4 linked regions of the Ovis aries genome follow. The protein of the gene in region 2 purifies or fractionates together with the protein of the main gene of each other region. This does not show direct contact. Links are inferred from orthologs where the notes say so. Each region holds a gene or a part of one and is shown on either strand. Other genes may lie near its edges.

Region 1 (7,532 bases), on a different chromosome or scaffold from region 2:
CCCTCATTCATTAAAGTTTCACTGTGGGCTCACTGTCCCCCTTCCATACTTAAAACTTATCACAGACCTACGGTTCCCTTAGCTGTCCAGTATCTCTTAAACTGTCACCCCGTTTTGTTCTGAAACTCTGACCTACTTTCTCTAGCCCCTCAAGCCTTCTTACTGCACAATGTAGGACTTCTGAATTATAATCAGCAAACCCCCATATATACACTCAGATTCTTCTCTGAACTCTTCCTTGACCAAATCAGACGCACTTCCAAGGGCCCTGTAGCCCTCTCAAGTAGCAGCTATTTTTTTCACTTATACATCAGGGTCAGAACACTGCTTCCACTGCTGTTTACAAATGATTCTTAACCTTCCTCCTGCAAAAACTCCAGCCATCCTGCTAAATTTCCCCAAACTCTTTTTCAAGTACTGAGCTCTCACTATCGGCCCCCATTCACTGAACCCTCAGCACTAGTATTCTTCTCTGCCCTGTGGCCCTGGTCATTTCTGGAGCCCTTGACATTCACATGGATGCTCTATCTAACAATCATCTTCAGTCCCACTCTGGCAGTAGTGGCGGTGTAATTGCTAAGTCATGTCAGTCTCCACTCTAGACTCAAGTATTTTGACTACACCATTTAAAAAAAATGATTTCAAGCACCAACACAAACCTCTCAGTTCACTTGTTCTTGACACAATCTGCAACAACCTGGATACCCAATCCTCATCTATGACCACCATTCAAATGATGTCTTTCTCCTGTCTTTCCTTTTACCTCATTTAAATTCCAAGATCTATCACTATAATCATCTCCCTTCAAAAAGTCTTCAGCTCCCTTGATCTTCCCTCTCTCCCCTACCATATTCACCTGGGAAAAAAACCCACTCCTGGCTGAACTGGGTCCAAAATCAGAATAGAACAGCTGAGAGCTGCTGATAAAAATCACAGTTTCACTTATTGCTTCACACGTTTCAGTTTTTCCTCATACTATCCAGCAATTCTCCATTCCCTTTGTAAGTTCACTTTTAAGATAAACACTCCATACTTCACACCTCTCTTCTTCAGCCTCTCATCTCACATCCTCACCCACTCCTTTCCAAGTGCTGACCACATCTTGTATATTACTGAAAAAAGAGAAGCACCCATCAGACAGGACTTCCGCATCCCCCACCATCAATACCTACCACCTTACCCGGCCCTGCTCCTACCTCACTCCCTCCGCTTGTGCACCGAACCTCTTCTCTCACCTTCTCAAGAACTTCTGCCCTGCACTTCTTTCATTGCTCTGCGCCATCAGTTTTTCCTTCCTTATTGAATCATTTCCACCAACACATAAACCTCCTCTGTATCTCCCATCTTCTTAATTCCAGATTCTCCTCTGGCAACCACCTGCTCCCTTCTCCTCCTCACAGCAACACTCATCCAAAGCTGGTTGTGCTCACTCTTCACCTCTCTTTCACTATTCAGTCCTTTCCAAACTGACTTCATCCCACTACCCCCTGAAGCTACTCTTAGGAAGTTCACTGGGCAGGAAAGGGTTAACTTAGCAGGACTGAAATGTTCAAACTCAAACATCCTAAAGACAGGACTGGCCTTGACCAGCTTCTGAGAGATAACCTCTAAACCTTTGGAATATCCTGCCTGATTAGAGCACCTTTGTACCTCTGAGACCTTGGTTTATGCTAACAATGTGCTTTATGGTGAATACCAGTTTGGTTCACCTGAGACCCTGGGCTACAATGTTATTGGTTTGACCTTGGGTGGCGGCTGAGGTCTGAGTAGTTAAGGTCAGTCATATGGACTGACCTAGGTTAGGTGACTGTCCGCCAATAAAAATCCCAGATGCCAAGGCTTGAGGAAGCTCCGTGGTTGGCAATACTTCATGTGTTTTCACTCATTGTTGCTCCAAGAATTGAGCCCCACCTATAAAACTGCACTGGAAGAAGACAACTAGAAGCTGGAACTTGGTCTCTCCAGAAGTTTGCCCTGTGTGTCTTCTTCCTTTGCTGACTGTAATCTATATCCTTTCACTCTAATAAACATAATCATAAAGAATAGCTTTTTTGAGTCAAGAGTCCTTTTTACAAATCAAACCTGGGCATAGTTTTGGGGACCTTCAACACACAGTCACTGCCAGTTGCTGAATCTGGTATACAGTTCTCGGTCCTGTTACAGCACCTCTCTTCTCTCTTGAAACATGGCCCTGCTGGAGCTGGGACACACTCTCTCCCAGTTCTCCTCCCTCTCTGGCTGTCCCTTCTCAGTCCCTTTTACTCTTCCTCCTCTCCCACTTGCTAATCCCAGTAAATACTGACAGGTGCAGTCCTGATACTCAGAATAAATCTATGAAATCCTAATTTCCCTGGGTGACAGTCATGAAAACATGTAAGCCAGAGAATGAACACATAACTTCCACCATAGCCACCAAATTTTAACCCCTTCTAAGTCCCTACTGTTTTCCTTAATTCTTATGTCATCTACTGGGTTCTATGTAGACTTCCTCATCGTCTCACTTTTATACTCATTCAGTTTTTCTATATTTTCTGTATCTTCTGTGTTTAGGTACATAGACGTCCATAAGGCATGCATTTCATCCAACATTTACTGCTATGCTGCATCTATATTCCAATCTCAGCACTAGATACGGAGGCACGTATTGCAGTCCTTGCTCTCAAGCTGCTTTCAGTACAGTGTCAGAGACAAACCTAGAGTGGCAACATGGTATGGAAAGTGTCCCAGACACTAGAGTTTGATTCAGTGTTCTGAATCAAAGCTAAGAATCTGACACCCCCAAACCAACAAAACAGCATCTTCACAGTAAAAGCCTTAAAACGGACTTCTCACCCACCTCCTTATTTCACCAGTTAGGCAGACAATGTGTTCTTGCATCCTGCGAAGACGGATTTCATAGCGCACATCTCTAGCTTGTGGGTTGTAGTTCCTGGCATAAAAGCCCCGCCAACAGGCCTGAAGCTTGGTGGCTGCTTCATTCAGTTTCTGGAGGGCAACTTTATCTTGTCCCAACGGAACAGATTTCTGGGTTAACAGCCTGCAGGGAAGCTTCTCTGAAGCTATTTGAGACCTGGCTTCTTCACTGTCTGGCTGCATATGGAAGACATTGTGTCCAACTGACTCAGGAAAAGATGTAAGACTGTGGGTGTGATCCTTCAAGCCAGCACTGGTGACTGTTGGCTCAGGACAAGCTAACAGTCCATCTTTCTCATTTACCTCTGTACCAACTGCACTTTTTGTCATCTGAACAGAATTCTCATTTGCAGCCCCCAAAGCCTTTTCCTCTTCCTTGTTTGATAAGCTCTGGTTTTCTGGCCCTTTCACAGATTCATCTGCAGCAGCATCATCTTCTAGGCTCAAGTTAATGCCTTGCAGCCTCAGCTCCACTGTAGGTGATACTGGAGAGAGTCCTGATGCAACTGGCATAAAAGTAGACTCTGAAGAGAGGAGACTGCAATTTAACTTGTCCTCATCGGTCTGGATGTCTTCCAGGTGCAGGTCATTTCGAGAATATCTTGCAGTGTGTACAGAGGTTGGAAAGTTATTCTTAACAGCATGTGATTGGTCATCATGACTGCTTATCCCAACCCAAGAATTGACTTGGATGACAGGTTCTAAAAGAATCAACAGAATGTCACTGGAAACATTAAATATTTACGGAGGGATTTTTTTTCAGTTGTATCCCTTTAATGAAATTTAATCCCTCAAATATAGTAAAAGGCAATGAAATTATTTCAGTAATTTCCTCCAAAATGCCTTAAAATATCAAACCAAATATTTTTAAGAAACTAAATTCTTGCAATAATCATAAAAATAATCAAAGTACTAGGTCAAGTCAAAAGGTGGCAGTCCTCTGAATGTTTTCGAAAATTAAGACATTTAATAGTTATAGATGTCTGTGTATATTGTTGTTGAGCCACTAAGTCGTGTTTGACTCTTTTGCGACATGACCCCATGGATTGTACAGCATGCCAAGCTCCTCTGTCCATGAAATTTTCCAGGCAAGAATACTGGAGTGGGTTGCCATTTCCTTCTTTAGGGGATCTTCCTGACCCAGGGGTTGAATCCACATCTCCTGCATTGGCAGGTGGATTCTTTATCACTGAGACAAAAGGGAAGCTGCCATTTGTGTAATATACATATGTAATAAAATAAAAGATCCAAATGTTCACTTGAGCTAACAAGTAAAACATTCTGAAAATATGTACTGTTTCCTGTTTTATGATACCAAATAGATCAAACAAAAAAGGACCGGAGATCAGTTAACTTCTTACCGCTTTCTGGGACTACCTGGCCATCTTGAATGGGGCTGGAATGCTCTGGCACAAATGATGCCCTTGATTCAACAGGAGACGACTCTTCATTGTGGCTCTGGTTCATTAACTGCCTCTGGTGAAATCTAAAATCAGAATACCCTATGTGATTTCACACAAATCAAAAAAAGAAAGCTTCTCTGCTTCCTTCAACAATTCGCCAGGTAACAATGTCAAGAAGGGAGAAGTTTACAAGTTTTCAGAGTACATACCTTTAATGACCTCAAAATTACAAAGTCTCATGGATAGAAAATGTTAAGAAATTTATTTTTAAATCACAGTCAGACACCATCATAAATATACACACACAAACCTTCAAAGACAGGATCTCTGATGAAAGACGTGACTACTAAAAATGCTTCTAGTATATATAACGTTAGTTTTCTTTTTACGTTTTTTCTAAAAGCTTTATTTATTATTTGGTTTTGCCTGCGTTGGGTCTCTGTTGCTGTGCATGGGCTTTCTCCAGCTGTGGTGAGCGGGAGCTACTCTTTGTTCTGGTGTACAGGCTTCTCACTGCCAGTGGCCTCTCTCTTGCAAAGCTCGGGCTCTAGAGCTCGGGCTCAGCAGCTGTGGTGCACAAGCTTAGCTGCTCCACAGCATGCGCCATCTTCCGGGACCAGGAATCGAACCTATGACTCCTGCATTGCCAGGCGGATACTTAACCACTGGACCACCAGGGAAGTCTCTATAATGTTAGTATTTTAAAGCCCATGTAAAACACCCACATTAAAAGAACAAATGAAGTTATTTTAAATCCCAGGCTGCCAGGCTGCTAGGCTCTCCCCACTCAGGAAATGACTAGTAAGCAATGCAGCTACTGGGGAGGAAACCAGATTGCACTGCGTGGTTTGGCTCCTCTGAAAGCCCACTGTGGTGACCAGGGCCCCAGGGGTCCAGAAATGTGGCTGCAGCACTCTCTCCAATCCTGCTAACTCTGCAGGAAAGTTGCATCAGCCGCTACAGATAAATGCGCTCACCTCTGCTTGCTCAGAATCTTCTCTAGCTTGGCATCCTCTGCAGTTTGAAGGCCCAGCGTAGAAGTGAGAGGACAGACTGTAGCCAGATACTGGACAAGCTGGATGTGCTGGCCAGGCCGATACGCTCTCCCCTTGCCTTGACTATATAGCCATTCAGCTTTTAAACTGGAATTGGGGGACAGAAAGAAGGGCTGGCACTGGGGTAGACAAGATACATTTTCAGGCAGTAATGATCTTCCTTCTTAATATGCCTTTCCAGCATCACTAGATGTTTTTCATGAATAACATTTCAGTTAAAAAGAAAAATTATCCTCTGCTTTACTCTCCTTATTCTTGTTATGGTTTAAACATTTTTTCTTGCTTAGGGGCACTTCCAATGATTTGTACTAAATGGTTCCAAATATTTTAAAATTATCTTCAAAGAAGCAATAAGTATTCCCTCCATTCACTGTCAAACTGAAGTACCTAAATACATAAACTGTGTTTAAATTCACTAGTTCATAATGATAGTTTTTTTAAAGCCAACTGGTCACAGTTGAAGGATGCTAGTGAGCTACCATCTCATCATCTTTAAAAACTGATAAAGGGGGAGAATTAAATATTATTAATTCCATTTTTCCTATACAAACTATACCAATGAGTAACCAAATAGTTACTCCACAGAAGTATTCCAGCTTATTTAAAAATGAATTATAGAATTAAAATTTCACCATTTTGCAACTCTCAATGAATTAATGGATTTAGGCACTGACCGTTAACAGCTTCTCATAACATAAGAGACAACCAGATACCATGTGCCTCTCAACAGGACCCAAAAAGCTGTTCTTGACCCCACAAAAATCTGATCAAACCTCCACCTCCAACTACCCATTTACAGAAAACACAAAAGAGGAGAGTATGTCAAAGCACATGGGGACGCAGCAATTGGCAAAATAAGCACAGTAGGAAACTCTGTAGGACAAAGAATTTGATTTCTTCAATAACCAAAAAGAGAAAAGAAAGCAAAGCAGAGAGACAGGGGGCCCACAGAGAGATCTGAAAGCATCATCTTGGACCTCTAGCCAAGCTGACCTTTCAAATGACTCCAGCCCTGACTGTGATCACACCACAAGACCCCAAGTGAAAATGACCAAATCAGCACAGCCAACCCATGCAGCATGCAATAAACAGTAAACTTTTAAGATACTGAAAAAGAGAACAAGAAAGATATATTTTAAATACATCAAGTAATTACATTGTATGGCCTTATTTGGAACCAGTTTCCAAAATTCTATTTAAAAACTGCATTTACGAGGACTAAACATAAACACTTAATATTTGGTGTTATTAAGGAATTATTGTTAAATTTTTTGAGATGTGATAACAGTATTGTATTTATTTCTTTACAGACTGACATTTCTCAAACGTCCCACATAGCTCCCAAATTGGAGTGATTACGAAATAGGCTGGAGTGATTATGTTTGGAGTGATTATGAATAAGGCTGCTATGAACATGCTTACGCATTTTTTCCAGCATACATAAGTTCCTATTTCTCTAGGGTATATAGCAGAGTCAAATTGTTAAGTCATAGGGTATTTATATGTTTAAATTCAGTACTGTCAGTTTTTCAAAGTGGCGCACAATTTATACTCCTAGAACAGTTAATGAGAGTGCCAATTGCTCTACATAGCCATCAAAATTAAACATATTGCTCATACTTCTAATTTTAGCTACTATGGTGGGAGCTCCATAGCAACAAGGAAAAAAAATAATCTTTCTAAATTATCAAAAAGTCACTATAGTGGGGACGGGAGTTATGATGAGTGGGACAAAGAAGACCTCTGCAGTGCTGGTTACATTTAGTCTTCTTTTCAATGGTGATTATACAGATATTCTAAAGTATTACATTTAAACTATTTCTAAATTATATGCTATCACAACAAACTGGAAAATTCTTAAAGAGATGGTAATACCAGACCACCTGACATGCCTCCTGAGAAATCTGTATGCACGTTAGGAAGTAACAGTTAGAACTGGACATGGAACAACGGACTGGTTCCAAATAGGGAAAGGAATACGTCAAGGCTGTATATTGTCACCCTGCTTATTTAACTTATATGCAGAGTACATCATGAGAAACGCTGGGCTGGATGAAGTACAAGCTGGAATCAAGATTTCCGGGAGAAGTATCAATAACTTCAGATAGGCAGATGACACCACCCTTATGGCGGAAAGTGAAGAACTAAAGAGCCTCTTGAT
Region 2 (8,151 bases):
AAGCTCTGGTGGAGAAGGTTCTGGACTACAATTCCCTTGGGTGTCTGGGACCCCCCCATAGCTAACCTTTGGCTTCTAGGATGTGGTTTCTGGCCACTAGGCCAATCTGGCCCTTGACTCCTCCAGTCATTCTTCCTGCCCCACCTCTTTCCACAGGCCTGGGCTCTGAGTCCAGCATCTCACTTCGACTGCCACTGCTCATACTCACACCACCCACACTGCTGTTCTTGCTGTTATCCAAGGGAGGGTTTTTCTGAGGTTTCAGGAACTTCCCTTCATTGTAGTGTGCCTTGCGGCGCTTTTCAAAATCATTGGATTCTGTGGGCCAGTGTCAGAGCATGGCTTTCCTGCCAGGCTCTCCGCTGAGCTCTCACTCCACCTCCCCTTCCACTTAACCCCACCCCTCATCTCACGTGTCTTGGAAAAGCTGTCTGAAGACCCCGAACTTCTGTTATCACTGTACAGGACCTTGGGGCAGACATTGTCCATTGCTGCAAACCTGAAAGGGAGGGAGACCAGCTGGAAGCACAGAGAGAACAAAAAATGGGAGCAGGTGGTAGCTGGGGCCAAGCTGGCAGACTCCCCGACCTTGGCCTGAGTGAGTCCTGGTCCAAATTGTAGTACCTCCCATTTGGAGAGCCAACAAGCAGAGCTGGCTCAGACCCTAGCTCAGGGGTGGAGGGGGCAGGAGGCCGCAGGTCCCTACTGACGGCTGGCAGGACTCTCACCTCTCTGCTAACTTCTCAGGAGTCATTGCGTGAGAGGTACCGGCAAGCAGGTCTTCATCGCTGTCTTGCAGCCTGCAAGGGAGGGAGGCAGCAGTGCCTCAGAGCAGGCAGCAGGCACTCCCCTTCTCCTTAGAGAGTAGGAGCTGAAGGGCTACAGCTGCAGACTCGCACCTGTGGAAGGGAGTGCTGGGCTCATCCACCTTCATAAAGCCATAGTTCTTGTCAGCAGGGTGGTAGGTCGCCAGGATATTCATTTCATCCCAGTGCTGAGACTTTCTCCTTCGGGTGAGGAAAGGATACAAAAAAAGGGGGAGGAAATCTCCTAATGCTCAGTCCTCCCTCACTCTTTCAGTCATTCAAAACTTTTTCCGACGTGTAGGAGGCTGAGGTGGGGTCACACTTGATGATAATCAAGTGCTATGTAATCAAGGGTTTATCCTATACCTGCCTCTCTCTCAAAGGCCAGGAACCTCGGATTCCCCACCCAATTACCCCCACTTACTCTCACTTACTCTCACTTTTAGTTCTTGGGACTCCACCCCCTTTCCCCTGCCTTGGTTTCCTCCTGTGTCTGGAATCCCTTTCTTCCTCCCCGGCTTCTTACCTCTCCGCCCGGGGGGATTTGTGCACCGTGATGGAGCTGCTGTTTTTTAGGATGCTCCGGGGCCGGTCCTCACAGGGTCTGTCTTGGCGCATGCAAGTTGACTCGGATATCGTAATGTTTGCCGAGTTGTACAACCCAGACGCCCCGGACCCCGGGTTGAACGTCCCGGATACACTGGTTCCAGGGAAGGGGGGATTAAATCCGTCAGGTTTTGTACGGGACCCAAAGCTGTGGCCCGCGACTTCCCCAGGATGCTGGTTGAGCCCGGTACCGAGGACTGCTGTCCCTCCGGAGGGCTGGCTAGAATCAGGACTGCGAATTATAGTTCCCCCATTGTGCGTGGAGGGCCCAGAACCGTGAAACATGGTTACTCCGGAGAGCAACCCGGCGCCTGACTCGACTCCTCCGATGCCTCCTGGCACCCCCCTGATACCCCCACCAGGGGATTCTCCATTGAGGCCGCCAGCAGCCCCCACACTTTCCTGCTTCTCCATGGCCCCACTAGGGGGCCACTCTCAGCTACCTCGCCCCGCCTCCCTGCTCCACATAGCCCCGCCCCAGGCCCCGCCCCCACTGCGGCTGGAGAGGGACGCTTGGGCGAGGCCTGGGTCCCCTCCCCCACCGCTCCCTGGAGCAGTGGGGGGCGGAATCAAAACTGTTTAGGGACCTCCGACTGGAAGCCTCTCAGGTTGCCCCTCCCTTTCTGTCCCACCCTAAAACCTTTCTTTGTCTTTGGGATTTGTTCCCGCCCTTCTCCCCCATCACCCTTATCCGAATTATCCAATCATAGTCATGGTCCCGGACGCCGTGCGAGAAACCTAATTGTGACGTCACACACAGTCCAACTGAAGCGTGAGCATCTAGGGAGTCTTGCTGGGGGGTTGTTGATAGCTCTGGGGGTGGCTGTCTTTGAGGGCTGTCAGCGTCGTTGCCTGAAACTACCTGCCAGGGTTCCTTTGGACTCTTTATTCGTGGCTTTAAAACCTAAGTTTGGTTGAACTAGAGTTCAAGATGGGCTTGTCTAGAAACATCGCGAACTCTTTTCGCCCCAAAATCCAGCCCGCTCTGTTTCTGCGGAGAAGTGGAGGGATTGCGACACTGTCGAAAGACATATCCGGTCTCAAGTGGTACGGAGTGTGACCCTCTTTATTTACAAAGCTACCTCTATGTGCTCAGGGCCCGCTCACACCGCTTCCGGGCGCTTGGAGCGAAGGAAAGCCCCCTGCCTCCTCCTGCCGTAAAGCGAATACTTCAAAGTGTTGCCTGTCCTCGACGAAGGCAGGGTCGTCGGTGTCGCAAAGCTGAAAGTGTTTGGGCACTACCCCTAAGTCGTAAAAGTGCCTGTGGCAGTCGTTTCTTCCACTGTCGCAAAAGCTCCCGGCCCGTCTTCGCCCCTCTGGAGCCACTCCGTCACCTCGCCCGTGCCGTAAAGCAAACCTGCCCGACTCTGTCGTCCTTTCTCTTCCCACCGTAGTAGTCCTTAGTTCCTTACTCCGGGATGCTTTATTGCCCGGCACTGCCGTAAAGCATATCTGGCCCCAGCCCCCGAGTCCTATTCCCCCAGGGCGTCTGTGCACCGCGGTTGCCACGGTGCCGCCAAGCGCGGCTGTCGCGCGGCCCCGGTGTCAGCGGCGATGGCGGCGGGGTCGGGTGGGAATGGGGGCTCCGGGGGAGGCCCCGGGCCGGGGCCGGGTGGGGGTGGGGGTGGTGGCCCCGGCGGGAGCGGCCCAGGGCCGGGGTCCGGCGGGGGTCTGGGCAGCGGCGGGGAGCTGCACCCGCGCACCGGGCGCTTGGTGAGCTTGTCGGCCTGTGGGCGTACAGCGCGGCGGCAGCAGCCAGGCCAGGAGTTTAACCACGGGCTGGTGTTGAGTCGGGAACCCTTGCGCGATGGACGCGTCTTCACCGTCCGCATCGACCGCAAGGTGCGGAGCTGGGGCCGCGGAAGCGAGATGTGGAGGGTGGTGGGAGGGGACCAGAAGGCGATGGGGGAGGACAGCTAGGGTAGCCCACATTACCGGATACCGAGAGGGAACCGCTAGCCAGAACACCAGGTGATGAGCAGGAAGGGAGCATGAAGCGGAAACATTAAGTCACAAAAATAGGAGGCAAGGAGAGCTTGATTTTTGTCAAGACTCAGGAGCATGGAAGGGACACGGGGCCCCACCCACTATAATGATTAAAGAACAATCCTCCTGGGATAATTTCTGGGAGACGGAGGATGGAGAGATGTCAGATATGTGATGGAAGGAGAAGAAAGATAACCAAGAAAAGAACAACCACTGAAGGACAAAAGCACACCGATAGGGACAGAAAGATGGGTGAGGAGAGATACTCAAAGCAAGAGATGTGTATGCCTGTGCGGTGATGCAGCGGAAATGCCAGGTGCACAGAGGTAGAATTTGGGAAGAGAGTGAGTTTGAGTGCAGCCAGAGCCTAGGAGAGAGGCCCAGAGAGAAAGAGCGAGCAATATACCAGCGAGTATGGAGAGCTGTGAATTTGACTGGTTGAGGAGCTACAGAGACCAGAGCAATTAGAGATGGCAGGAGCCTGGAGCCAGGGAATTTAACCAGCTTGGTGAGCCAGCGTGGGAAGAGCATGGGATCATAGACAGCGTGCACCCAGAGTACAGAAGAGAGTTGCTAACGGAGAGCAAGTCTAATCATTCCCTGAGACCAGAGTCCAGATAATACTTTGTGGGACTGGATCTCTGGATTGGGGATGTCTTGTATCTCAAGAGAGTAAAGCCCAGTTAGCTAAGAGGTGGGAAGAGGGGGACACAGTGGCCTATGAAGTGTGGGAGACCCATTCGTAGCCCACCCTGAGCCACTGTCCACTGCCCCATCACAGGTCAACTCCTGGAGTGGCTCCATTGAGATTGGGGTGACGGCACTGGACCCCAATGTGCTGGACTTCCCAAGCAGCGCCACAGGGCTGAAGGGAGGCTCGTGGGTAGTGTCGGGCTGCTCGGTGCTGAGGGATGGACGGTCTGTGCTGGAGGAGTATGGGCAGGACCTCGACCAGCTTGGCGAAGGGGACCGTGTGGGTGTGGAGCGCACGGCTGCCGGGGAGCTGCGGCTCTGGGTGAACGGGCGGGATTGCGGCGTGGCTGCCACGGGCCTTCCGGCTCGTGTCTGGGCCGTCGTGGACCTTTACGGCAAGTGCACCCAGATCACTGTGCTCCCCCCTGAGCCGGGCTTCAGCCCCCCTACTCCCAGCCCCACACCTCCCCTTGATCCCTCCGCCCCCCCTGAAGATTCTGCCTTGGCTGAACAAGGGACCTCTGGGGATGAAGGTGAGAATGAAGTTAGGGCAGTGGTGGGGGGACGGGGCAGACAGAATGGCTGAAGGAACGGGGGCGGGCAAGGCAATGACAAGTGAGGCTGGGTGTGGGCTGGGAGAACAGGGGCTAGTGGAGGGGTCTCCTGGCTGTGGTCCCTGCAGCAGGGGCTGAACCCTTATTCCCCTCCCATCCCACCTGGTCCCCAGCCTTCATGGTATCCCCAGCGCAGGCCCGACCGGAGACGTTTCCTAACAGCCTTGAGTCGCATAATGGTGAGGGTTCCTGGGAGGCCTGGGAAGGGGAGCGGGACATGAGGTGGACAGGGGGGGACCTCAGGAGAGGGGTAGGGAGAGCTTGGTGAGCCTGAGACTGAGAATACTCATTTCTGCTCCCTTCCTGTGTCCTGCTGTTGCAGACTTTGCCAGCATGGAGCTCTCCGAGGTGGTGAGCAATGCCATCCTGTCTGCGTACAACGGGGGGCTCCTGAATGTGAACCTGAGCTCCCCCCCAGCAGAGGAAGCACCAGGGCCTAGCGGTGCTGCCACCTCACCCATTGTCACCTCCAACGATGCTCTCCTTTTCCATGAGAAGTGTGGAACCCTCATCAAGCTCAGCAACAACAATAAGACTGCTGAGCGCCGCCGGCCCCTGGATGAATTCAACAACGGGGTTGTCATGACCAACCGCCCACTCCGGGACAATGAGATGTTTGAGGTGTGCAAGGTGTTGGGGCCTGGCCAGCGTCTCACCCTCTGGGAGCTAGAGATGGGGCTCAATCCCCAATGCTAGCAAAGGGTGGAGGTGGCCTAGGGAAGCTCAAAGGGCGGAGAGACTTTTTTCTCTGAGTTTACATTTCCCCTCTCCCTTCCACTGTCATTCCACCCAAGATCCGCATCGATAAGCTCGTAGATAAGTGGTCAGGCTCCATTGAGATTGGTGTCACCACCCACAACCCCAACAATCTGGAGTACCCAGCCACCATGACCAACCTGCAGTCAGGTACCAGCCCCTGGCATGGTGGGGGCGTGGCCTTTGGTCACTGAGGTGCAGGGAGCCCATACCCTAACCAAAATGTCTGCTTTCCCAGGCACCATCATGATGAGTGGCTGTGGGATCCTGACCAATGGCAAGGGCACCCGCCGGGAGTACTGTGAATTCAGCCTGGATGAGCTGCAGGTGAGGGTGGACACAGTGCCGGCCTCTCTCCAGGGGCACCCCTGTATATACCGAGCAGTCCTCCCTGGGCCCCATATTCTCTGATCTGGAGCAAGGCCCTTTATCTTTTGTCTGAAGGGTCCTTCTGAGAAGGGCTTCCCTGGTGGCTCAAATGATAGTCTGCCTGCAAAGCAGGAGACCTGGGTTTGATCCCTGGTTTGGGAAGATCCCCTGGAGATGGGAACGGATACCTGCTCCAGTATTCTGGCCTGGAGAATTCCATGGACAGAGGAGCCTGGCAGGCTACAGTCCGTGGGGTCACAAAGAGTTGGACACAAATGATTGACTTTCACTTTTCCTTCTGAGAAGGCAGGGTTGCCCAACTGTTAAGCACTCAGATTTTGCAGTCAGATGGGTTGCATTCTTCTTTCAATTTGGCCTTTGGTGGTGGTGACCTGTGGCCAGAAGCTCATCTTTTTGGGTAGTTTTTTTTCCTTAATGTCTGAAAATGAGCCTGTTAGTACTATTTGATAGAGTGCCGTGAAGGTTGAGCTGGTGTTGATAAGATAGTTTAACATAGTGCCTGACTTGCCTTGAACATTCAGAGTGGTCTGGGATGCATGGGAACCAGTTGTTCCCCTGTCGCATCGGTTGATGGGAAGGCTGGAGGACTACTCTGTTCTCAGTGTCCAGGACAAGTCTGGACCTCAGCTGTTGAAAGATTCCAGGTTTTTATTTTTCTGCTTTGAATAGGAGGGTGACCACATTGGTCTCACGAGGAAGTCCAACTCTGCCCTACACTTCTTCATTAATGGCATTGATCAGGGTAAGGAGAAGCTCAGAGAGGGTGGCTGGGCCAGGGCTTTCACTGAGGGGGGTCTGTGTCATTCTCCCTTTATTGATTCTTCTCCCCTCATCCCATACACAATGAGGCCATCATTCCTCCATTCCCTGTGCCTTCCACTCCTGCAGGTGTGGCGACCCCCTTGACGCCCCCAGTGGTGTACGGTGTGGTGGACTTGTATGGAATGGCTGTGAAGGTGACCATCGTCCACAATAACAACCACAGTGACCGCCTTCGCCGGAACAATGCCATCCTGCGGGCTCTGTCCCCTGAGGGTGCTCTCCGCCGGGCTGCTCCTACAACCCAGGCAGAACCTGAGCGCCTGCTCTTCCACCCCAACTGTGGGCAGAAGGCAGCCATCACCCACGAGGGACGCACTGCCCTGAGGCCCCAGTATGGCCCATGGGGTGGGGAGAAGCCTGCGGAGGGGCTATGAGGGGATTGGGGGAGGGGTGGGCAAGTGGGAGGCAGTGGGAGTCTGGTTGGGGGGCCTCCTGGAATGCGGACCGTGGGTGCTTGACTTGGGCAGTGGGTGTCGGCTGGGTATTGCAGTGCTGAGCTTTGGAGCAGTGTGTTGGGGGGGGATCTGAGTCCCCACTTGCCATGCCCTCAGTGCCACCGACGACTTCAATCATGGCGTGGTGCTGAGCAGCAGAGCCCTGCGGGACGGAGAGGTGTTCCAGGTGCGCATCGACAAGATGGTGGACAAGTGGGCTGGCTCCATTGAGATTGGCGTCACCACCCACAACCCTGCCTACCTCCAGTTGCCCTCCACCATGACCAACTTGCGCTCTGGTGAGCTCCCAGGAAGGGCAGGGCCAGGATAAGATGCTAGAGGGGATGCCGTCCCTGTTTTCCAGACCTTTGACTTGTCAGGTTTGTGATGACACATTCAGTGCCTAAAGTGTGCCACGTGGATAGGGCCTGTGGTTGGCATGAGAACCGCAGAATTTTCTTGCTCTGCCCTGAGAAAAAAAGGCAGGCTGGACTGGTAGCTTCCGGAAGTAACTGGGGGACTGCTGTGTAAAGGAAAGAAGCCTTGGCTTCCTCTTCATGGCTTTTGCCACTCATTGTCCACTAGGGACCTGGATGATGACAGGGAATGGGGTGATGCACAATGGGACGACCATCTTGGATGAATACGGGCACAACCTGGACCGACTCAAGGTGGGAGACTGGGGGAGCCGCCACCTGTCGGTAGCGGGGAGGCAGGCCAGGTGGGGCTGCTGGAGGACGAGCCCAGGCAGGAACTCGGCCTGACTCCTCACTCCAGCCCCGCTTCTTCCAAGGCAGGGGACACGGTGGGCGTGGTGCGGCGGGAGGACGGGACTCTCCACTTCTTTGTCAACGGCATGACTCAGGGTCCTGCTGCCTGGAATGTGCCCCCAGGCGTCTATGCTGTCGTGGATCTCTATGGCCAGGCGGCCCAGGCCACCATTGTGGACGACGTGGGTGAGGGCCGGGCTGGGCAGGAGCTGGGGTGGCCTTGGGAGGCCTCAGAGATGACTGTAGGCCTAAAGGGTGATGTCCACTTGCAGAG
Region 3 (7,163 bases), on a different chromosome or scaffold from region 2:
GGCCCAGACCCTGCCCTCCTGTGAGGTGAGGTGGTATGGGGGAAAGCAGGCACCACAGTCCGAGTACTTGCTGAGGGGTGAGTTTCTGAGCCTTTTTCGTGGGTGCGTGCCCCCACCCTCCCAGCTCTCAGAGGCTGATGTGGAAGGCATCCTGCAGCCACTGGTCCCGGACATTGTGTGTCTGGGGCACAGTGAGGGGTGGCGGGTCTGGGGGCAGGCTAGCATCTGGAGGCTCCTCGTCATCAGACAGGCCAGCGTCGGGTGGGTAGGAGCTGTCTGAGTGCAGGGAGGACGACAGGTCCTGGCACAGGCTCAAGTCTTGGCACAGGTGCTTATAGTCCTGGATCGACTCATACAGGCCCCACAGCTGGCACAGCAGGGACATGTCCAGCTGCCGCAGGCCCACCTGCAAAAGACTGAAAGTGGGCTGGGGTTGGAGTGCCAGCCACCCCTCCGCCCATGCCATTCTTCCCAAGCACAGGTTTCTGTGGACAGCTTTGAATCTTTAGGCAAGTCAGTAACCCCTATCTGCAGGACAGGGACAAGACAGCAGAATGGAAAGAACACTAGTAAAGCATTTAAAAATACATGGTAACTATCGCCAATAAACATAGCTATAATTATTACCGTATCCCCTCTAACCCAACTGGCTTCTTTCTGTCGTTCCTCTAGACCCAGACCGCGTTGCCTGTGGACCCCGCCCCGAACGCGCCTGGACTCTCGAGCTTGGTGGCTGCCCCGTCGCCCCCCAACGCCTAGCTGACCGAGGCCCAGCTACTCACCATTTCCTTGCGCAGCGCCGCTAGCGCCGAGTCGAGGTTGACAGGGCGACGTGAGCCAGGAGTACCCGCGGCAGTTCCCGCGTTGGCGGCGCCGGTGGCTTGGCGGGGCCCGTCCGGGACGCGGGCGGCTCGGCTCAGCTCATCGTGGATGCGGCTGCGCTGACTGTAGACGCGCTCTAGCTCTCTCCACGAGCCCCCGCTCGCGTTGAGAAGACCGCTGAGGCCGCGCGGTAACGGCGGGAGACCAGCCAGGGCGCAGCCCGCGCCGCTCGGCGCCTCGGCAGAAGGCAGCCCATTCATGGCCGGGCGGGTACCAGAGGATGATGCCGCCTCTTTTTCGCCAACGCTCCGCCCGGGCCACCGCCCGCGGGCCCCGCACCCCGCGGCCCCGCCACCAGAGCCCAGCCGCCGCCCGCAGGCCGCGCTTTGTTCCCACCCGGACTCCTCCGACTCCGCCCCTGCCCCACCCCCTCCGCGTGGGCGGGGCCTGTCTTAAAAGGGCAACAGCTCTGTGCGCCCACGTTGCCCCAGGAGACCAGAGAAAAGGGCATTGGCCACCGATAGAAGGGAAGCAGGTAAAAAGGAGGGAAGAGGTTAAAAGCGGAGGGTGCGGTTCCTCCCCCTCCCCAACACTGTTTATTCCGGCCAATTACAACTCTCAAGGAAAAGGATCTAAAGGGGGTGGGGTGTGGTCAGGAGACAGATTAAGACCATCCTTGATCCCTATCTGACTACATCCTGTCAGTATCTGGGTACCTGGTCTGGGCCTGAGGTGGGACAGGATGATGGTGTCTGGATGCTTGGGGGAAGAAAGGGAAGCTACCGAGGGGACTGGAACCCCAAATCTCTCTCAAGGGTGGGGAATAGCGCTGGATGGCTGGGGAGGTTCCAGGATTCCTTCAGAGATCCACGCCTCCTGTTTCTGCTTTTGAGGTTGGGGCCTCCTCACCAGAAAAAAAGAAAAAATAGCACATAGTCCTCTGCCACCTCATCCTTTGAGTGGGGATACTGAGCAGAAACAAACCCCACTCATTTCTCAGGGCATCAAGGAGACCAGACTGTGATACCATGAAAGACCAAAAGCAGGGAAAAGACGAGTGGAGCTGGGACTTGCATGCACACTCAGAACCAAAAAAAAGAACGAACCACACAAGAGGAACAGCTGTTTTTCTACAGGGTTTTTCTCAGGAGAGGTTTTTTAGTGTTGCAGCTGCTTCAGACTACGCAGGGCTTCAGCACACGCCCGGATAAGGCTACACAGCTGGATGCTAGTCTCCAGGGAGGTGCTAGAGCCCAGCTCAGCTGAGGCCCAGGTCAGCTTCTGCAGGAGAGCCTCCTGTGTGCAGGCCACCACATCTGCATTTGGAAGCACAGCAGGAGGGGGTGGCCCCTGGACTGCCTTAAGCCCTGCTGCAGCTCCCTCACAGTGTTCAGGACGGGGTACTGGCGGCTGAGGGGCAGGCCGAGAGCTCAAGGGGGGCTCCGAGGCAGAGGCGAGCTGGTGCTCCCGAGCTTGGGAGAGGGCAGCCTGGGCATTCAGAGCTAAAAAAGGAGAAAGCCAGTGGAATGATCAGGATATACCTGGCCCCACATCAGCCCTAAGACACTTCCCCTACCCTTCACTGTTCTGCTCTCTCTGTACTTGAGATGTATTCCCTGCCCCAGTATAAGAGAACACATCCATTTTCTTTTTTGTATCAGAGGTATTTACGCCCTTGCTTAAAGAGCATAAGGCCTTCTCTCATCAGAACTATGCCTAATAAGCTCAGGCTCAGGTGTCTGGCACACAGTAGGTGCTTAGTGCTCTTACTGAGTGAATGGCCGTTTCTAGGAGAAAGGAGAACGCAACTCACCCTTGCCCCACCCACAACTACCACTCTCACCTCCCAACTACTGTTCCTGAGTCTCTATCACTAAGCACCCTCGACCCCTCACCCGGGTTATCTTTATCCACGTCTGAATCGAGCTCCTGACAAGCCACGCAGTAGATTTTCCGCTGTTTGTCTTGGAGGAGGATCGTCTAGGGGCCAGAAAGCACAGGGAGCAGGGGTGAGACCGGCGACGGGGTTCAGAGGGGAGAGAAGGGGAAAGGGCCGTGCGGCCTGGTCCGCGGCCCCAGCCTGGATCCCACGTCCCGAGTATCTCCTCACCCCGCAGTCAGCACAGGTCTCGCCCAGCATGCGGTAACCACGCAGCAGGTAGTCGCCCATGAGCCGGGAGATGCGATCCTGTCGCTCCCGCCGCGCTTGCAGCACCTTCGTCTCCGCTTCGGTCGGGGGCTCCCAGGAAAAGTCGTCGACTTCTGGGGGAAGAGAGGCACAAGGGGCCGGAAGGTCTTGCTGAAGCAAGGTGCCGCCCGAACCACGAAGCCACAGGCCCCCACAATCCATGGCCTCACCAGCGCCGTTTAGGGCCATGTTGCCGTTGTCGCCGCTAGACTCACCGGAAGTGACGCACAAGCAGCGCGCCTTCTGCTTCCCCGCCCTTCCCTGTCGGGCCGAGAGTGAGGGCGGAAATGACGCTCTCTCTGCTCCTCCGACGTCGCGATGCCCAGAGTGGGGCGTGTCTGCTGCAGTCTGGACCCTGTCCCACTGGCACGCCCCGCGGTGGGATTCTGTGGACAAAAACTTTTCGACTGGCTGGGCGTCAGGAGGGGCGTCTCTCTGATAATGCCACTCAGGTCTCTGGACCCGAAAGTGACAGTGCAGGGTCGCTCTTCCCGCCGCAGTTGGAGGGGATCGCTTGGCTTGAGAAATCTCCGCTGGCCTCCGCCTCCCTGGTGTTTCCCTTTCCGCACTGGCAGGATCCGGGACAGGCGGGGCGGTTGGCATCATCGCAACACCACTCTTGATAATAACAAACGGCCCCTTCCGCGTGCGTGGAGCGTCCTCGGGCCTCACTCGTTCGCCATTCAATTGGCAAAGCAGGCCAGGCAACGAAAGTTCTCCCCGTCAGTTGTTCAGTCGCCAAGTCGTGTCCAACTCTAGGACCCCAGGGACTGCAGCACGCTAGGCTCCCCTGTCCTTCACTATCTCCCAGAGTTTGCTGAAACTCATGTCCATTGAGTCAGTGATGCCGTCCAACCATCTCATGCTCTGTTGCCCGCTTCTCCTTTTGCTTTCAATATTTTCCCGACATCAGGGTCTTTTCGAATGAGTCGCCTTTTCGCATCAGGTGGCCAAAGTATTGGAGCTTCAGCATCAGTTCTTCCAATGAATATTCAGGGTTGATCTCCTTTAGGATTAAATGGTTTGGTCTCCTTGCTGTCCAAAGGACCACAGTTCAAAAGCATCAATTCTTCCGCGCTTAGCCTTTTTTGTGATCCAGCTCTCATATCCCTACGTGACTATGGGAAAACCATAGCTTTGACTATACATACGGACCTTTGTCTGCAAAGTCTATACCTTCCAGCTTATTTCAAGACCCCTCCCCTTCTGCATGTTCAGTGTTCCAGTGTGCCCACCCCACTACCCCCTCCATCCCCATCCAAAGGCCTGGGACTGATGCAAAGTCAGCGCCTAAGCAGGTTTTTTATTTTGTTGACGTTGGCGCGCTCAAAAAGCCAGCTAATGGAGGCGGAGGTCGGGTGGGGTGATGGTGGCAATCGCTGTGCTGGACATGTGCTGTTTCGGTACCAGCTGCATGCTGGAGAGTGGGGGTGAGGGGTTTATTATGCGTGCCTGTGACCCTTTTGGGGGTTCCAGGTGGTGAAGTGGTAAAGAATCTTCAGGCAACACAGAGCAGATTCGATCCCTGCTGCCGCTGCTGCTAAGTCGTTTCAGTCGTGACTGACTCTGTGCGACCCCAATGACGGCAGCCCACCAGGCTCCCCGGTCCCTGGGATTCTCCAGGCAAGAACACTGGAGTGGGTTGCCATTTCCTTCTCCAATGCATGAAAGTGAAAAGTGAAAGTGAAGTCGCTCAGTCGTGTCTGACTCCATGGACTGTATAGCCTACCAGGCTCCTCCGTCCATGGGAGTTTCCAGGCAAGAGTACTGGAGTGGGGTGCCATTGCCTTCTCTGGGATTCGGTCTCTAGGTGGGGTAAATCCCATAAAGGAGGAAATGACAATCCACTCCAGGATTCTTGCCTGAAAAATCCCACGGACAGAAGAGCCTGGTAAACTACAGACTGTGGGGTCGCAAAGAGTCAGACATGACTGAGCACACACATGACCGTAATGCTCTTCTTCAGTGGGTTGCTGTTAAAATAACTCGGGCTTCCTAAACATTGGCCCCAGTGGGTTTTTTTGTTTGTTTTCTCCCTCTCTTTTTTTACCCCATACACATTCTCTCCCTTAGTAGGTTTGGAGAAGCCAGGTGGAGCAGCAGCAGTCCCCCCGACGTGCAGCCTGCAGTGCCTCAAGGCTATATTCCAGGGAAGTGGAGGCACAAGGACTTAGACTCCCACAGTCACCTAAGCAGTCTGTCTCTGACTGGCGGAATGTGCTTTCAGTTTTACCTGCAGCTGGAGTGCCCTCCTCGTGGCCCCATCTTCCTCCTACATAGACTCCCTGGACCTTCCATTTTTGGACACCTGCTGCCTCCTGCTTCCTTGGAGAGCCCTGGGCCCCCAGTCACTCTGTCCAACTACCAGCAGGCTCTTGGGCAGCAGTGTACCTGAGTCAGGGTCTGACGCCAGGTTGGTTCTGCCAAACTGACTAGAGGGACTTTTGGACTCTAAAGCCTATATGCACAGTCCCTCCAGGTCCTTACTATCTTCAGCTCTCAGCTCCTCCTTACCCCTAGATTCCTCGATGCATCCTTCTGTGTCATCATAATGACCGATTTCCACTTGACAGCTTATCCGACCTGGCCTCAACTAAGACCCTCCCATTTACTCCCTTCATTTATTCCTCATGACAATTCCTCTCTTCTGGGTGGGGTTGGGAATTTCTCACAGAAATTCACTACTGCTATGGACAAAAACAAGTAGATGAATCACTAGAACTTTGCTGGCTCACTTGGGAGATAAGGGGTAGGGCAAGTGATACTTGGTAAGATAGAATGGCAACAGCTGGGCCATCTTACAGCTCAGCCCTTTCTACAGTCTATCATGCCAATCTTAAATCCATTCTGAGATGACAATAAAAGGTCTCAGCTCCTCCATCCCCACCCCGCACCCCGAAGTGGGTCCTGGCTGCTATAAGGGAGTTTTGTCCCTCTTAGGGGAATTTCCTTGAGACAGACAAACTCTCATAGGAAGCTACAGATGAGGCAATGATTACTGCTTGGGCTCCTATTGTTTAAGTTTATAGTACTGCTACAGTGAAAGAAATCTAGATAAATTCTTGTGATCGGCTCCAGCTAGAATCCTAGTCCTTCTATTAAAACAAGGCAGAAATAACATGTTATTATGACAGTGGGACAGAAATACCCCCTATTAAGGCAGTCTCCTTTAAAAGAAAAATCACAGCTGTCAAGTCCAAGTCCTGACATACATCTATAAAGCACTCTTGCCAACAACAGCAGAAGTCATATTCTTAAATATACTTGGAACATTCTCCAGGATAGATTGTAAGTTAGACCATAAAACAAGTCTTAATATACTTATTTTAAATTTGTATTTGTTTATTCAGCTGTATTAGGTCTTAGCTGTAGCACATGGGATCTTTCATTGTGGCCCTGAGATTCTCCAGTGTGGTGTGGGGCTTAGCTGCTCTGCAGCGTGTGGGACCTTAGTCCCCTGAACCAGGGATCAAACCTGAGCCCCCTGCACTGCAAGGCAGACTCTTACCCATTGGACAACCAGGGAGGGGCCTGAATACACTTTTTCAAAAGGGTTAAAATCATACAAAATATGTTCTCAGATCACATTGGAATGAAATTAGCAATCAATAACAAGGAAATTTGGGAAATTCACAAATATGTGGACATTAACACCTTCTTGAATAACTGATGGGTCATAGAAGAAATCACACAGGAAGTTAGAAACTACTTTGATATTAATGAAAACACAGCGTACCCAAACTTGTGAGATGGAGCCACAGCAGTGCTTAGAAGAAAATTTACAGTTGTGTGTTATTTTTTTTCTTCTTTTTTCCTTTTGGCTGCACTGTAGGGCTCGTATGACCTTAGTTCTCCCACCCAGGATTGAACCTCAAACCCGAGGCTTCAGCAATGACAGCAGCAAGTCCTAACCACTGGACCGCCAGGGAATTCCCTGTATATTCTTATATTTAAAAGAAAAAAAGGTCTCAAGTCAGTAATGTAACCTATTACCTTAAGAAACTAGAAAAAGTAGAGCAAACTAAATCCAAAGAAAACAGAAGGAAAGCTAGAAAAAAGATTAGAGAAAATCAACTCACCTACAATTTATTTCTTTAGAACAGGGGTCCTGACTCCCTGTCCGTGGCCTGTTAGAAATCAGGCTGCATGGCCA
Region 4 (7,532 bases), on a different chromosome or scaffold from region 2:
AAGGAAAATATAAGCAAGGTGAAAAGACAGCCATCTGAATGGGAGAAAATAATAGCAAATGAAGCAACTGACAAACAACTAATCTCAAAAATATACAAGCAACTTCTGCAGCTCAACTCCAGAAAAATAAACGACCCAATCAAAAAATGGGCCAAAGAACTAAATAGACATTTCTCCAAAGAAGACATACGGATGGCTAACAAACACATGAAAAGATGCTCAACATCACTCATTATTAGAGAAATGCAAATCAAAACCACAATGAGGTACCACTTCACACCAGTCAGAATGGCTGCGATCCAAAAATCTGCAAGCAATAAATGCTGGAGAGGGTGTGGAGAAAAGGGAACCCTCCTACACTGTTGGTGGGAATGCAAACTAGTACAGCCACTATGGAGAACAGTGTGGAGATTCCTTAAAAATTGCAAATAGAACTACCTTATGACCCAGCAATCCCACTTCTGGGCATACACACCGAGGAAACCAGAATTGAAAGAGACACATGTACCCCAATGTTCATCGCAGCACTGTTTATAATAGCCAGGACATGGAAACAACCTAGATGTCCATCAGCATATGAATGGATAAGAAAGCTGTGGTACATATACACAATGGAGTATTACTCAGCCGTTAAAAAGAATTCATTTGAATCAGTTCTGATGAGATGGATGAAACTGGAGCCGATTATACAGAGTGAAGTAAGCCAGAAAGAAAAACACCAATACAGTATACTAACACATATATATGGAATTTAGGAAGATGGCAATGACGACCCTGTATGCAAGACAGGGAAAGAGACACAGATGGGTATAACGGACTTTTGGACACAGAGGGAGAGGGAGAGGGTGGGATGATTTGGGAGAATGACATTCTAACATGTATACTATCATGTGAATTGAATCGCCAGTCTATGTCTGACGCAGGATGCAGCATGCTTGGGGCTGGTGCATGGGGATGACCCAGAAAGATGTTATGGGGAGGGAGGTGGGAGGGGTGTTCATGTTTGGGAATGCATGTAAGAATTAAAGATTTTAAAATTTAAAAAAAATAAAATAAAATAAAAGCAGAAGAGGAAAGCAAAGTGGAAAGCATAAAAAAAAAAATAAAATAAAATAAAAATATAAAGCAATGTTTACTAAAAAAAAAAAGAATTAAGAACCTCACCTAATCACAACAGAGTCCCTGGTATAGCCACCGTCATATTCTGTAGTTTCTTCTAGTGCTTGGAAATCTAGATTCTGCAAATTCAAGAAAACACATCTTAACATCTACACCACACCATTACAAACAAAAGATCAACAGAAGATTTTTCTGGAAACCCTTGCTTTCTTACCCGGCTTCCACATATAAGCAATTCAATTTCCTCTGGTCTGAATAAGTACTTTAAAGGAGATTCATTGGTCACCATATGAAAACCTCTCCGAAAAGCCTTGAACTGTTTTTCTACTGATTTATTGAGAATGTAGTCAGAATACAGATTGACAAATTCCTGCAGAAAACATTAACCACAAGAAGGTCTTATGATGCGTAATACAACAAAATACAAGCTACTGGACTGCATCATATTTTTATTTTCCCAAAGAAAACACAATCAAGAATATTTTAAAAAATATTTTACACACACAAAGGAAAATACCTTTAACGATTTCACAGCTCTCTATGATAGACAAAGTGTTAGTTACTCAGTCATGTCCAACTCTGTGATCCCATGGACTGTATCTGGCCAGGCTCCTCTGTCCATGGGATTCTCCAGCAGGAATACTGAAGTGGGTCACCATTCCCTTCTCCAGGGGATCTTCCTGACCCAGAAACTGAACCTAGGTCTCCCGCAATGCAGGCAGATTCTTTACACTCTGAGCCACTAAAGAGGCCACACACATATAAGTTTCAACTTCGATATTAAACAAAAGCTGGGCCTTGATACAATTTTAAAGTTCTCTCAATTAGGTTATGCAAATGCAAAAACATTTAAACCATTTATACATAAATTTATAAAAGCTGACATTTTTAATAAGAGTGCAATGTACTGGAAATGAGCAAATAAGGAAGTCTTTCATGTTTCCTATTCTAGAATATTTGGGAAGCTGCCTACCGTTATCTGTTTCAACAAAAATATCAGTGTTTCACTTGGTGAGCAAGCTATTGTACCAAATAAAAAAAGGAAAATAAACTCTGTATCCCAAGTTAACTAATATTTTATCAAAAATTGTATTAATATAAACATTGTTTTTAAAGACTTTATATATATCATAATTCCCATTTCCAGATGCATACTTTTCTAGTCAACAGAAAACACAAAACTGATTTCTTTAAAATATTTATTCTTTAGTACTTTTCAGATGTTTATTTAAGGCACGTGTATTTGTATGTGCATTAGAAGCAATTATTGACCATTTGGTTATAAGGACCCTCCTTGTTTCCTACCCCTCTACAGCTTAATATGAGAGACAGCCTTCTTCCTGCTTTACCCACAGCCACCCACATCTGTGCACTGTCGCCCACTCGGGGCCTCTCTCTCCAGGAGGAGTTCAGTGCCCAACCACGTGCTCTCATACCAGCCTTTAGTCAAGGTTTAAAGAACTGTGGCTATTTCATTTAATGAAAAAGAACTTAGTTACTTGATTTCTTTGTAGAGCTGACATTAGAAACTTCCTTAAAAACTACAAGTGTATGTGCTTTCCCTGGAGGAGGGCGTGGCAGCCCACTCCAGTGTTCTTGCTTGGAGAATCCCATGGACAGAGGAGCCTGCTGGGCTGCAGGCCATAGGGTCTCACAGAGTGGGACACAACTGAAGCAGTGCACGCACAAACGCACACATATACGCTTTAAAATTCTGTTATTAAAGAGACAAAGACAAGGATGACATAAAAACATTTATTACCTTTCTGTTTTCATTGGTAATTGGAATTTTATCACCATTTTCCTTTAGATCATACATCATCGGATTACCAAAAAGATCTGTCTGAGATATCTGGAAAGTGATCATCATATCATCTTCCACATTCCCTTCATACTCCAATAAGTCTTTTAAACTCTGATACAGAACCTACCAATCAGAAAAGGAAAAATTAAGGTTACCACACAACTATAAAATACAACAATCTGTATCACTCTTCTTGGGAAAAGATTCAAAAAACTAACAGTAAGAATTAAACCACAAACAGTACCCCTCTTCTAGTAGTTTCTATGCAGACATAAAGAAAGTCAGTCAGTCAGTGGTTAACGCGTCCCTCTGCTGAGAAACCCCACACCAGCTACTTAGCTATGGGTCTCACACTGTGCTCTACCGAGACCCTTAGAGGCATCTCAAGGGTAAGGGGGGGGCTAGCTGCAGCCACCAGAGCCACTGACTAAGGGCAGCTCTGACTCAACCCAGCAATCTCATGATTCCATTAAAAAAAAAAATTAGAAACACTTTTCTACAGAATCAACCTTGTAAAGCTGACTTGCTTGTAACAAGTTCTCCTTCAAGTTTTTAAGTGTTTATGGCATTTCAGATAGATAATAAAACAAGTTTATCTCACTAGGTATAAATATTAACAAAGATTTCAAATCAAAGCTTTAAAAATTTTATATAAATTAAATTCTGTATTTGCTTTTAAATAAAATCTAAAAGAATAAAAAATGACAAGACTTACAGGATGAGAGTCTCCCAAGTCAAGAAAAGTTCCTTTTTTCCCCATTAGCTTCCTGTAGACAACCATGGGAAAATGTACATCCAGTATACAGTTATTGTAAATAGCCAAACCCAGTACTATGCCAATCAGAGTGAACTGACCCTCAGTTTCAAAAGAGGATGGATTAAACCAAAACAACTTTGTAGATTCATCATATGTGAACATACCTGTAAGAAATGATTTTTTTAAATGCATTACTTTCATATTTTATTACAGATGAACAAATAATTATACATATAAAATACAAAAATAAATATAAAATAATTACACATGTAAACTTATTTGCATTAGGGCTTTTTTCTGTTATGTCAGGACTTACGAAAACAAAGTTCCAGTACATATGAATGCTACAAATTGTATAGCATATATTTAAAGTAATAAGCCATTCTGTTGGCATTTTCTAAGTTAGGAAAACTGTTCATTAAATTCAAGTTCTCTAATCTTCTATTAACATGAATCAGAAGTTAACTTGCATTCATATTTTTACCACTGAATGGTTGAAAAACGCAAAAGAAAAAAGAATCATATTTTGAAAATGTTCCACTTATTAAAACATATTTAATCCACATGCATTGCTTTAAAAAACAATTTTGAATTTCATTAAGAAAAAGTCTTTTTCCTCCAAATTGCATAATGGTTCCATGAAGTTTTTCAAGCACCTTTTTAACAAAGATACCAAGTACTTAAACTCAGGCAAACTTGATAAACTTATGCCCAAAACCAAAGCCATTTAATATACACATTAACTGTGAGCCAAAAAGTAAAACAAAACTAATTTGTAGTCTTCTTTTAATTTCACATGGTCTTCACTATTTATATCACTCATTTAAAAATAGTAATTAAATAGCCATTACCATGGTAGACTTATCTCTTTCCTTGTAAAGAAATATCTAAGATAAATGTAAAATGATATTTTAATTGACTTAACAATTTCATTTTACTATAAAATGTTTTGTAGTTGCTACTGTGAAACTAAATGAAAATATTTCAAGAATTAGATCTAGGAAAGAGAGGGAAGTTCCAATAGAATAAACTTTAAAAATCAACATTTTTTAAAGAAATCAACCAGTTTTTAAGTTTTTTAAACAGTTTTTAAAATGTTTAATTTTCACATTTAGTTGAATTTAAATATAAAGGGAAGTTTAAAGGGTCCCCTTGATCCTAAGAACATGAATTTAAGACATTTTTCTAATGCAACTTAATGTTCACGAAACAAAATTTTATAAATTACCTAATTTATACTTGAATCTCAGTTTATATCCAACTTTTTTTTACAGGCTGAAATTACAAATCTAGTGAAGTGCTAAAAACTTCATTTAATTACAAATATGGTATTAACTGGATCAGAACAGTTAAGAAAAGCTCCATAAAGGGTGGCTCTTCTAAAATATTCCTTTTTGGTATTTCTATTGTCATCATTTTAACTGATTTACTATCAAGCAAAATTGTTTCATGTATGTTTTTTCTTAAAAGTATTTCTGCATATAATGTAAATATACTTTGTAACTAATGTTTAACATTTTTAGATACATAAAGACCTAGAGCTAAAGTTCACCAAAGATAGAAAATTAATTTAAAAGCTTCATATCTCACAAACACCATGGTTTTTAATGAAGCTTATAAATTAATTTTCTATCTCAAAAACAGCACAGATTTATACATCTAAGTTTACTTTGAGCAAATTATATATAAATGACATAGTCTTCAGATTATTAAAAAACATTAGCTAAAATACTAAGTCTTACCTTAACTATGTTTATGTCATGAAGTCAAAATGTCTACTTCCATTTATAAGCAGACTAACAACAAATATAGAAAAGTCAATTCAGTGTACACACTGAGAATCAACAGGAAATGATGTGCATTATTCTATGCCACGTTCTTCACAATTATGATGGTACCTTTAGAGGACTTCTTTTCCTCTAATTGTCATGCATTCGATTTTAAAAGTAAGCAACCCCAGTAACCAAGGTTTATACTGTAGAAATTAAATCAGATCAGAATTATCCAAATTATTTTGTCTATCAGTGAAACCCAAATTCATTTTCAGACTGACATACTATAGATCAATCTCTCCCAAATCATGTTCAATGAAAACTCTTCTGGAAAGCAAAAGCTACTAGATGTGGGATGGAAAAAGGGTTCTGGAGTTCCGTGTGGGAAAATATTATAATATTAAACCCAAGAAATGCTGTAGGAAATAAACCAAATTAATCTGCTATCAATCAGTACACCCAAATTTTGAGCACGATACACTTGTGAGACATTCTCAAGTCTTCAGACCATTATTCTATAAAACTCTTGTCTCAGAAATGCTATGGGTGATGAGTATTTTAGACTGAAAAAGAGCAAAACATTTCTTCAACTGTTCTAATGTATCATTCTAAAATGTCTTCAATTTCTTTTATCTAAGAGATAATTTCCTATATTAAAATATGTTACTAAGTAATCTAAATAAGAACTTGAATGAATGAGTGATGCAGGATCAATCCCAAAAGCCCACAAATTCAGTCATTATCTGTGATTCTAGTTACCTCATACCAAAATCTTCTGTTGCTCTTCATAACTGAAAATATTTGTAAATCTAGTAAATAAATTCTTAATTCAAAAAGATATGATACCATGATCACATCACTAAAATATTTACCAATATCTGGATTGAAGATTTCCTCCACAACCAGCTGAAAAAATTCTTTGGAAACACCTCCCTCATCAACTCCTTGTTCTCCTTCAAATTCCACATACAACTGTTTCTTCAAGTCTGCAGGATTTTCCATAGCGATCATCTCTAGCTAGTGAGTGGAAAAAGTGGAAAGAAGATGAAAGCCAGTATTAGGATGAAAACAAAATAAATTGTAGGGGCAGGAGCAAATAAAAGATAATGCTTTTGATATATTTTAAATGGAAACAGGAAGCAAACTGGTAAAAAGCCAGTAAGGCAAAGATTGTCTCACAGATAATGGAAAAATAGGATACAAAAGAAACTGGCATAGAATTCTAAAAGGGTTACTTTTTAACTAGTGATTTGATATGAAATTAGAATTAGATTTCCTGTTAATTTTGTATATAACAAACCTGGGTTTTAAGATTAGGAAATGGGGAAAGAAGTCAAGATAGCAAAAATGCCTCAAATTATTTCAGGAGAAACAAAGGCGCGTAGAAGTTGACTTCAAAACTGTTGACTTTTAATTCTTTATTAGAATAGAAACTCAAGAATTAAGTCTATCTATTAAATCATAAATAAAATAATTTCAATCAAGAAAAATAATTTAGGGAAGCAGTTTATGGTCTCTTAATAATACTTTAGTATAAATTACCATTTTAATGGATTAGAAACATTTTATATTCACTTTTTTGAAAGCAGATGAGGCATTATTTTTGCTGATATCCTTACTCTTCTTACTAACAGTTATCAAATCCTAGTTTCAACATTTCTTCAACTATAAATCTTTATCAAATGCCTTTTGTATCTATCAAATAATAGTGATTGCTCTCTGTTATTATGAAGTTAATCAGAAAATCAACACCATATTCTAATGTGAAACATTTACACTGCAATTTGTCTTATCTGTAATTTACTAATAGCATGCCTGACTCATCATCCATCTTATTTGCAAAGTGATTTTAAATTTGTCAAAACAGAATAAGGGTATTCAGATTTTTGCAACTACTACAAGAATCTTTAAAATGGTTTTGAGCAAGGCAAACATCATCAGAGTAAGTATACTATAGTCAGTCCTAAAGTAATTAGTTTAGATAATATCACTATTTGGGACATTCTAATGTGTCTATAAAATATAAAATCTCATAAATTCAAGATTCAGGTCAGTTGCCCTAGGTAAATGTTTTTCAAGC

The links.
Region 1: the proteins of NEURL4 (region 2) and CEP97 purify together in Homo sapiens (affinity purification with western blotting; 4 studies listed by BioGRID and IntAct, with this or other methods). This does not show direct contact. The link is inferred for Ovis aries from reciprocal best matches to the Homo sapiens genes NEURL4 and CEP97.
Region 3: the proteins of NEURL4 (region 2) and ZNRD2 purify together in Homo sapiens (co-immunoprecipitation; 4 studies listed by BioGRID and IntAct, with this or other methods). This does not show direct contact. The link is inferred for Ovis aries from reciprocal best matches to the Homo sapiens genes NEURL4 and ZNRD2.
Region 4: the proteins of NEURL4 (region 2) and UBE3A purify together in Homo sapiens (affinity purification with mass spectrometry; 3 studies listed by BioGRID and IntAct, with this or other methods). This does not show direct contact. The link is inferred for Ovis aries from reciprocal best matches to the Homo sapiens genes NEURL4 and UBE3A.

Annotation. Positions count from the first base shown.
Region 1 is NC_056054.1:166,990,197-166,997,728, reverse strand, and holds part of CEP97 (centrosomal protein of 97 kDa), read right to left. Parts: intron 5,459-7,532; coding exon 5,294-5,458; intron 4,400-5,293; coding exon 4,275-4,399; intron 3,615-4,274; coding exon 2,837-3,614; intron 1-2,836. UniProt on the Homo sapiens protein: Acts as a key negative regulator of ciliogenesis in collaboration with CCP110 by capping the mother centriole thereby preventing cilia formation. Required for recruitment of CCP110 to the centrosome.
Region 2 is NC_056064.1:26,920,101-26,928,251, reverse strand, and holds the start of NEURL4 (neuralized-like protein 4), read left to right. Parts: upstream 1-2,960; 5' UTR 2,961-2,966; coding exon 2,967-3,254; intron 3,255-4,179; coding exon 4,180-4,624; intron 4,625-4,661; exon of another isoform or gene 4,662-4,818; coding exon 4,819-4,884; intron 4,885-5,027; coding exon 5,028-5,326; intron 5,327-5,499; coding exon 5,500-5,611; intron 5,612-5,699; coding exon 5,700-5,788; intron 5,789-6,520; coding exon 6,521-6,593; intron 6,594-6,739; coding exon 6,740-7,004; intron 7,005-7,224; coding exon 7,225-7,406; intron 7,407-7,692; coding exon 7,693-7,778; intron 7,779-7,884; coding exon of another isoform or gene 7,885-7,900; coding exon 7,901-8,063; intron 8,064-8,149; coding exon 8,150-8,151. Other genes in the region: uncharacterized protein LOC105607811, read right to left, coding at 414-499, 729-800, 900-1,007, 1,333-1,826. UniProt on the Homo sapiens protein: Promotes CCP110 ubiquitination and proteasome-dependent degradation. By counteracting accumulation of CP110, maintains normal centriolar homeostasis and preventing formation of ectopic microtubular organizing centers.
Region 3 is NC_056074.1:40,192,501-40,199,663, reverse strand, and holds ZNRD2 (protein ZNRD2), read right to left. Parts: upstream 3,233-7,163; 5' UTR 3,200-3,232; coding exon 2,933-3,199; intron 2,803-2,932; coding exon 2,718-2,802; intron 2,325-2,717; coding exon 1,981-2,324; 3' UTR 1,946-1,980; downstream 1-1,945. Other genes in the region: FAM89B (leucine repeat adapter protein 25), read right to left, coding at 128-406, 783-1,082. UniProt on the Homo sapiens protein: Might play a role in mitosis. Antigenic molecule. Could be a centromere-associated protein. May induce anti-centromere antibodies.
Region 4 is NC_056071.1:1,626,044-1,633,575, forward strand, and holds part of UBE3A (ubiquitin-protein ligase E3A), read right to left. Parts: intron 6,470-7,532; coding exon 6,325-6,469; intron 3,845-6,324; coding exon 3,639-3,844; intron 3,047-3,638; coding exon 2,882-3,046; intron 1,490-2,881; coding exon 1,334-1,489; intron 1,239-1,333; coding exon 1,165-1,238; intron 1-1,164. UniProt on the Homo sapiens protein: E3 ubiquitin-protein ligase which accepts ubiquitin from an E2 ubiquitin-conjugating enzyme in the form of a thioester and transfers it to its substrates.